Oryzias latipes: one gene and its partner. The protein of the gene in region 1 purifies or fractionates together with the protein of each later gene. This does not show direct contact. Links are inferred from orthologs where the notes say so. Each region holds a gene or a part of one and is shown in the gene's direction. Other genes may lie near its edges. The genes, in order: ddx24 and fbl.

Evidence for each region.
Region 2: the proteins of ddx24 (region 1) and fbl purify together in Homo sapiens (affinity purification with mass spectrometry; 3 studies listed by BioGRID and IntAct, with this or other methods). This does not show direct contact. The link is inferred for Oryzias latipes from reciprocal best matches to the Homo sapiens genes DDX24 and FBL.

The regions. Positions count from the first base shown.
Region 1 is NC_019880.2:12,476,787-12,481,328, reverse strand, and holds the start of ddx24 (ATP-dependent RNA helicase DDX24), read left to right. Parts: upstream 1-1,554; 5' UTR 1,555-1,671; intron 1,672-1,796; 5' UTR 1,797-1,875; coding exon 1,876-2,665; intron 2,666-2,756; coding exon 2,757-3,170; intron 3,171-3,384; coding exon 3,385-3,538; intron 3,539-3,976; coding exon 3,977-4,486; intron 4,487-4,542. UniProt on the Homo sapiens protein: ATP-dependent RNA helicase that plays a role in various aspects of RNA metabolism including pre-mRNA splicing and is thereby involved in different biological processes such as cell cycle regulation or innate immunity.
Region 2 is NC_019874.2:7,462,063-7,466,413, forward strand, and holds the end of fbl (rRNA 2'-O-methyltransferase fibrillarin), read left to right. Parts: intron 1-587; coding exon 588-682; intron 683-926; coding exon 927-1,097; intron 1,098-1,268; coding exon 1,269-1,401; intron 1,402-1,487; coding exon 1,488-1,600; intron 1,601-1,727; coding exon 1,728-1,873; intron 1,874-3,244; coding exon 3,245-3,269; 3' UTR 3,270-3,751; downstream 3,752-4,351.

The DNA.
Region 1 (4,542 bases):
TGTATTTAATCAATTTTATTTAATCATGCTTTGCTTTGTTACAACTGGTGCTTTGATAACTATTAAAAATGTAATCATGCAAAATTAGTTAAAAAAAAAATAATAATAAATGTTTTCCAGAGTTTACCATCAGTTGCTTTTCTAGTGTGTAGTCAATAAACAACTTACTGATTAGTACAACTAATGACTTATGAACTTTTTTAACTTATAAAGGAATAAAGAGTTTTTTGTTTTGATTCAATGAATTTTTTCAATTTAAAAAGCGAAATATGAGTTTTAAAGGTGTTTTAGTGGTTGAATCTACCACAGATCTTTTTTTTTTAGTGTACTTCTGCTAAATACTATTATATGCATGAATTATATAGAAATGAATACAATAATGATTAAGAATTGTCTATTCACTTACTATTAAAGCAGTTTCAACTAAATGGTATTTCTGAAGGGTAAAAATCAGATCTCATGTAAATATTTGTGGACAGAATTATGTTTTACATTGATACATAGATGTTATCCTCTTAAAATAAAAACAAAACAATAAAAAAATATTAATATAAAAAGAAATCTACTTAAATATTATGATACGAATGTTGTTCCCTTGAGAGATGATTTCTCTCAAGTGATGTATATGATTTCTTCATCTGCAAACATTATTGTTAAGACAGGTATTGGCAGTTGTCAGTAGAAGATCACCTTCCTGGTTGCATTAAGTCAAGTGTCACGTTAAGTGGAAGGAGTATTATGATGTGGGGCTGTTTATCAAGAGATGAGTTTGGCCCCTTCAGTTCCAAAAAACATCTGAATTCTTTACATGTTTTCTGTAATTGACCTGCAAATCCAGGTCAATTTTGTTGTTTTGTAGTGTCACTTACAAATAGGGGCGTAACGATTTATCAGTTTAGTCGATTAATTGATTTGTATTCTCCAGCCAGATCAGTCTGCCTGAGGCAAGTTGTTAATCAAATTAACCTAAACCATTATAAAATCCTTTCAAAATTAAATAAATGGATTGTATCAATATTGGAAAATCCCATCTGGATTGAGGCCCTGTGGGTTCATTTTACAATAACGTAAAAACAACAAAGTACCATCACAGCGGACAACACAAACAAATACAAGGAATCTGGAAAACTTCACCTACACTGTTTAGTACCCAGATATATTTCGGCTTAAAGATTAAAACCTGGATTGATTTTAGTTCAGTGAATCGGATTGTTCAAAATGAGTCGTATCAGCAACCACGAACTACAGTCAGGACCATAAATATTTGGACAGACACGTTTTTTCTAATTTAGTTTCTGTACATTACCACAGTGACTTTTAAGTTAAACAACTCAGATGCCATTGAAGTGCAGACTTTAAGCTTTTATCCCATGGGTTGAACAAAAAGATTGCATTAAAATGTGAAAAACTAAAGCATTTTAGCAGGTTTTGCTTTGTTAAATGTTTTCTTGTTTATATAGCAGAGAATACATTTGGACATAAATGAGATGCTCTCTTCCACATACAATCATCGTTCTCACCCTTCTTTTCGGGCTTGTACGCATCCTGTGTTTAAATAAAGTTTTTACAAAACATGTGATCAGCACTGTCATGGCTGCGCCCTCGTGAACTGCATGGTTGTTAACGGTTGTGCGTGTATTTTGATACTTCATAAAGCTCCATCGAATCCGGGTAACGTACCATTGTATTCCTTGTTAATAATATAAAAAGCCTGTTCAATGCATTAGCAGTAAGTTGTAAACAATCAGTTGCGCTCATCGTCAAACGTAAAGGCTAACGGAAACGTCTCGTGTCAGATCTCACAGGTTCACTCGTCTTCACCTTTAGCATCAAAGATAATTCACATGTATTAAAACTGTAGAAAAAGTGAGAAAAATGAAGACAAAGAAAGTGGAAGCTCAAAACAAAAACAGCTCGTTTAGGTTAAAGACCCGGAGCATCCGCGCTAAAGGAACATGGAAAGCGGTCGAAATAGATCCCAGTGTGTTCTCGGAGCAGGGTTTGGAGGGTCTGGTGTGTTTTGAAGAGCTGAGGGATTATCGATTGATAGACAGCGAGAAAGCTGCAGCGAAGCAACTTCAACGAGAGAAGAAGGTGGCTAAGAAAAGAAAAGTCGCGGAGGAAGACGAAGCTGGAGAGACTCCTGCTGAGCCAGCTAAGAAGAAAGCAAAGAAGAAAAAGAAGGGGAAAAAGGTGGCTCCAAAGGAATCTGTGGGATCGGAAAGTGGGGATGCAATAGGAGAAGACAAGGCTGTTGATAAAGAGGCGGGGAAGGATGAGATCAGTGAGGACCTCTGTGAACAAGAACACCCCCCAAAAAGAGAAAAAATAAGGAAAAAGAAACTGAAGAATCATTCAGAGAAAGATCCCGTCACGGAGGAGCAGCCAAAGCTGGATTCTCCATCTGAAACAAAAGGTTTGAATAAAGGTCAAAATAAGACAAAACCCATCAAAAAGCAGACAAAGAACTGGACCTCTGCTGCACTCTGTGGCTCTGATGATGACAAACAATCTGATGTGAGTGCGTGGAAGGACTTGTTCGTTCCCTCTTCTGTGCTGAAGGCTCTCAGCAGCCTGGGATTTGAGTCACCGACTCCCATTCAAGCTTTAGCTTTACCCCCAGCCATCAGAGATCATATGGATGTCCTGGGTGCAGCTGAGACTGGTGAGCTAAAATACTTTTTTTTTTTTTTAAGTCTTGATTTTTGCCCCTTTGTTTCCACATGTTCTCACGTGAAGTTTGGGTGTCGTTGCAGGAAGTGGAAAGACGTTAGCTTTTGGTATTCCTATGATCCACGCCATCTTAGAATGGAAGCGCGGCACAGAACAAAGTCTTCATGACAACATCGACAAAACTCCCCCAAAGGTGGTGAGTTTATATTTACCATCAGTGGAGGAGTCTGCAAAATCAGAAGATGAGTCCACAGCTGTGGGGAACCAGGAGGGGAGTGTGGAGGCTTCAGATGAGGAGGACAGCTCAGCTGAAGATGGCAGCGAGGATCAAGATGAGAAAACAGGAAGTGTCTGCACGGTCAAAAATGCCGAGCGCTGTGTGGAAGAACAACTTGCTGGTGGCCGGTCTCGGCCCCTCCTGGGAATGGTCCTGACTCCCACCAGAGAGCTGGCTGTTCAGGTCAAACACCACATTGATGCCGTCACAAAATTCACTGGTGAGTCTCCATTCAAGGAAGCATGTGACCGCATTCAGCTCAGAATAACATATCTAATGAAGCAAAAAAAAGTGTTTACATCAATGTTGTGTGAGTTGTAACAGTCAAACACAGCCCATTTGCAAAGAATTTCTGAACAAATGGGAAGGAGATCTCTGCTGATCGTTGCATCTGCTGGAATACGTCTCCATGAGCTGCTTTTTCCATGTTCCAGACATCAAGACAGCCATTTTGGTGGGGGGAATGGCCCAGCAGAAACAGAAGAGGATGCTGAAACGCTGCCCAGAGATCATTATTGCCACCCCTGGACGTTTGTGGGACTTGATTAAGGAGAAGCATCCTCATCTGCTTAACCTCAGACACCTCCGGTTTGTCACCATTCAAACGCACTGATATTGATCTCCTTTCAGTCTGTCAAAATCTAAATTGTTGTCATTTAAATAAATGATTGGTCATCAAGTCATTACCGTACATTTAGGTCAGTAAGAGCTGCATTGGTTACAAACTAAAACACCTTTGTCTACATTTTCCACATAATGAGTTTCACACTTCCTTATAAGCTGCATTTTCTAGCTTACAAATGATGGTCCAGCACGTTAAAATGTCTACATTCAGCTCTACTATGTTGTTCAGTTATAGGTTTCTGACCCCAAAAAATGCTGGTATTGGAGGCTCAATGGAACCAACGACCTCTTATTCCTGAAATCGCAGCAGAATCTACCTATTACGGATTCCATTACGGATTCTGCTGCTTTGGGGACCGACCCGTTTTGTTTGACACTTTTGCGTTTTTCTTCCCGATCCAGGTGTTTGGTGATCGATGAAGCTGATCGCATGGTGGAAAGAGGACACTTTGCCGAGCTGGAGAGCCTGCTGGAGATGCTCAACACCACACACTTCAACCCCAAACGGCAGACTTTTGTGTTCTCTGCCACTCTGACGCTGACGCACAGCCTGCCCAGCCGCCTCCTTCAGAAGAAGAAGAACTTGGAGAAGAGGAGCAAACTGGACATTCTCATCGAAAAAGTAGGAATTAAGTCCAAGCCTAAAGTCATCGACCTCACCCGGAAAGAGGCAACTGTGGAGACCCTGACCGAGACACAGATCCACTGTCAGAAGGATGAGAAGGACTTCTACCTATATTACTTCCTGCTCCAGTATCCTGGCCGCACCATGGTTTTTGCCAACAGTATTGATTGCATCAAAAGATTGAATTCTTTGCTGGTTATCCTAGAATGCAATCCACTGCCTCTACATGCCAACATGCACCAGAAACAGCGCCTGAAAAACCTGGAGAGGTTTGCAGAAAGAGAAAGGTGAGGATAGTAGAATTTATTTACCCCCAATCAAAAGCCCTCTGTTATTTCCCTCT
Region 2 (4,351 bases), on another chromosome or scaffold:
ATCACAGTTAAATTGGGTTAGATGACCACATTTCTGCTTAAACTGAGCCCTGTAATTACTTGATTCGAGGGTTATCTCAAACATTAGCCTGGGTCTTAAGAGGTTTAAACAACGCACAACGATGTCTGGTTGTTGTTCAGAGTTTTTGAAGTCTGTATTTTGCATTTACACGAGTGGATTTAAAAAATTGTTTTCTACACCTATGTTTAGTTTTGACAGTAAAAGAAATAAACAGGATGAAAGCGCACCAAAGTCATGACAGAAAATGTCACGTTTGACCTGTTTTTTGTGTATTTTTATTGTAAGTAAATCTGCTGCATCAGAAGGATCTTATTTGACACAGCGTGCACTTTATTTTGAAAGGAACACAGATCTGCTGCTGTAAAGAGTAAAGAAGTTCCAGATGTTATCTATAGAAAAATATAAGATTTTAGAAATATTTAAAAGGTAAATCTTACAAAGGAATGGGTGTAAAAAGGTGTATTTTTCTAAAAGGTTAAGTGGGACGGCCCTTTGAGCGTTTCAGAATGAAGATGTAAGGAGGTTATGTATGTGGGTCTGACGGTCTGGGTCGTGGTTTCTTCCAGGGGTGTTTATCTGCAGAGGGAAGGAGGATGCCCTCGTCACCAAAAACATGGTGGTGGGAGAGTCTGTGTACGGGGAGAAGAGGATGAGCGTGGAGGTAAAGAGCCGCTTCTGTATTGTGAGGTTGTCCCTGTAGCTCCAGTGCTGAAGGGTTGGTTAACCCTCAGCCTCTGGTCCCTGCAACAGCAAAGTGTAAAAACTGAAACCATAACTCCTGTTTTTAAAATGTTTGGATCCTTTCCTGCTAGATGACGTAAACTCTTGGCTGGCTTCTGCAGCAGAGCTGGACTTGGTGGATTTTTCTTCTGGAAGATGATTGTGGATTTCCTGTTTTTGATCAGGAGGGTGATACTAAGATTGAGTACAGAGCCTGGAATCCTTTCCGCTCCAAACTAGCAGCTGCCATTCTTGGAGGAGTTGACCAGATTCACATCAAACCCGGAGCCAAGGTCATGTACCTTGGAGCCGCATCGGGAACCACGGTGTCCCACGTCTCTGACATCGTTGGGCCAGTAAGTACATTTCAGAAGTAATCGCATTGTTGTTGCTGTTGTGAAAATGCGTCACTGCTGTCAGTACCCATATGTGGTTTGATCAATATGCAGCTTTGACACATTTTGTCAGAATAAACCGTCTGACTCCGCCCCCTCTAGACTCATGTTGGATCTTGTTTTTGTTTTAAGGAGGGGCTGGTCTATGCAGTGGAATTCTCCCACCGATCTGGCCGCGATCTCCTCAATGTGGCTAAGAAACGCACCAACATCATCCCCATCATCGAAGACGCCCGCCATCCGCACAAGTACCGCATGCTGGTTGGTAGGTGTCAGTGCCTCAGCACAGCGGCTGTGCGGACAGAGCGCTTCTCCTCCCCGGCCTCACGTTGGCGCTGTGCTCCTCTGCAGGCATGGTGGACGTGATCTTTGCTGACGTCGCTCAGCCTGACCAGACCAGAATCGTGGCCCTTAATGCTCACAACTTCCTGAAGAATGGTGGACACTTTGTCATCTCCATTAAGGTATGACGGCTCACATTTCCGTTGGAGACGCACTACCCTGGGGATGAGGAGAGGATGTGGTGTTGAGAAGGAATCCGTGTTTTGTGTGTATCTGTTCGGTTCTGATCATAGTTCTCTCCTGATTCAGGCCAACTGCATCGACTCCACAGCAGCTCCAGAGGCTGTGTTTGCGTCAGAAGTGAAGAAGATGAGCTCAGAGAACATGAAACCGCAGGAGCAGCTCACCCTGGAGCCCTATGAGAGGGACCATGCGGTAGTGGTGGGCATCTACAGGTAAAGTATGGAACGTTTGACGGCTTGGGTCAGTGGGTACCAGCAGGTGATGGTAACACATTTCAGAGGATCAGACATGCTTACAGCCTGCGCTGCTGCACGTCCTGCTACTAAACCCAGAGAACACTGCTCCATTTTTAAACCGCTTTGATCTAAAATCAAACAGGAATTTGACATATTTTGCCATTTTGGTCTGTATTTAGAACAGCAGGGGCTTGTCAACATGCAGCCTCTGAAGCTACGTTCACACCGGGCTCAGAAACGCATGTTCAAGCAACTGCTTCCACTGAAAAGTAAATGCGCTTTTAAGGCTTCCTTGTTTTTTGGAAGTCCGTTTTTGGGCTCAGTGTACAAAATGCACGGCCACTGAACGCGCATCACTAGTTTAAACCCGTTGAACTTTGACTAATCGGGGACTCTTTGATGGCGACGTCTGGATGGCGTCCTTTTCAAAACACGGAAGTGCCAATCGTATAAAAATTGATCGTGAAGGAGAAAATAACTGTGGTTTAGTGTCCGGCCGGAATTCAATGACACAAAGTCTTTCATATATTGGAATAGAGCTGCGAAAGAAAGTCTGGAGCAAAATTTACCCGATTAGCACCGTTTCCACATTTCCCACGTAGACTTGTCCAACTGTGAGTGAATGCGCCAATAATGGGCAACACCGTCTGCTAAAAGCGTGTTCAAGAATGCCCGTTGCGTTCTTGAACACGCTTCACACGACCGGTGAGGACATAGCACAAGTCATCTCTGACCGTCAGTGATGCTGCAGAGACGAAGACGGGCGCTGGTTTCAGTATCACTGTGTTTAACCGAAGGAGCCTTTTTGCAAACGAAAAACATTCACTTTGAAGAGTGAATGTTCTTTATTTGGCATTTCGTTTAATATTTACAGTAAACTTTTATCAGTAAACAAAGGAATGTTGTGTCCGTTAACATCTAAATACAGGGAAAGAAAAGAAAAAGTAGAAGCAAAGAACTCGTGGAAGTGCAATCAGAAAAGCCTTTGACCCACATGTTCGTCTTTAAACTTCTGTTTTTTATAAACGCTGCAGCGCTTAGAGTAAAATGTCTGCAGAGATTTAACATTTGTACTCCACAAAGAGGACATGATGGTTACATCCTCTCCTCACTTCATTTACTGCATCTCATTGATGTAGAACAAAACCTGATAAAGGGGAAAACATCCTGGTATGTTCTGGCTTTCTGTGGATGATCTGGTATCTCATGAACTGTGAACTGCTGTGATTGGCTAAAGGAGATCTGATGTTTGTGTTTCATGAAAAATCCAACATCTTTAGACGTCAGATAATTGGATAATTGGGTTCAATGTCAAAGAAGTGACGTCTTTCTGTTTTCTGATTCCAGACCGCCACCAAAGCAGAAGAAATGAGGTGAACGAGAAGACCTTTGACACTGGCTGTTTTTACCTTTTTTTTCTTCCCTTCTTCTTCAGTGTTTTTTTGCTTTTGTAAAGTCCTGAGCCCCCCCCCCCCTCCTCTGACTAAAGACTGGTTGCCCTAACTTCCTCAAAGGAATAAGCAGCCCTGTTCTCTGACTAGACGAGGCTGGAAAGGTGTCATTCGTGGTTACTCGCTGCGACTTCAGCCTACTGCTGTCTAAGAAACCTGCTAACGCTTTGAGGTTCAGTTGTCACAAGCGTGGTCCGACTCACATGTTCGCTCATCCCTTCATGGATGTTTGTGGATCTCTCCATGGAAATAACCTATAACTGTTTAAGGAGCCTCTCCAGGCGTGAGAGGAAGACCACTTTCATTTGGTTATCAGTCCATCAGATTGCATGGTTGATGAGAAAATATATATTTGAACCCAGCCGTTTTTCTCCTTTTTTTTAAATAAAGAAGAAACTTCTAATTTCTCTGTTACTGTTTGAAATGAGCACATGTCAAGAACTCCGTGTCCACATGTTTACCAATGTCCCATTCAGCTCTTCCCATCTGTCCCAACGCTGTTGGAACTTCATCCAGCATCTGCTTCAGTCGCTGAGTGACGAGACACGAAGGCATCCCTATTAGTCAGAAGGAGCCCATGGTGCCAGTCTAAGCTTCTGCAACTGTTCCTTACTGATGGCCTACAGATGCTTTAGGATCCAGCTTTTGGTTCTCTCCATTGTGGGACGTCAGTGTGCACGCGGAAGCCAGCCATCCTCTGGTTCATCTGCATGCCAGCAGAGCCTGGTCTGGCCTTGGTTTGCACCAGATTCAGGTGGGCTAATGCCAAACCCAGAGAAGCGACAGTGTGGATCAAACCTGTTACTGTGGGGTTTGTTGCCGTTTCAAATTGTTCAGCTAACCTTCAAAGAACCTAGCTTGAGCCAATGTGATCCATCCCTAACCCTGGTACAGCTGGTCCAGGCTAACCTGACCTGGGCTCTAGCGGGGCAGGGGCAGACATCCGCCAGGTCTGCAGCACAGAGAAACCGCACTCTCTGGCCGCCAGCAGAGGGCGCACTTC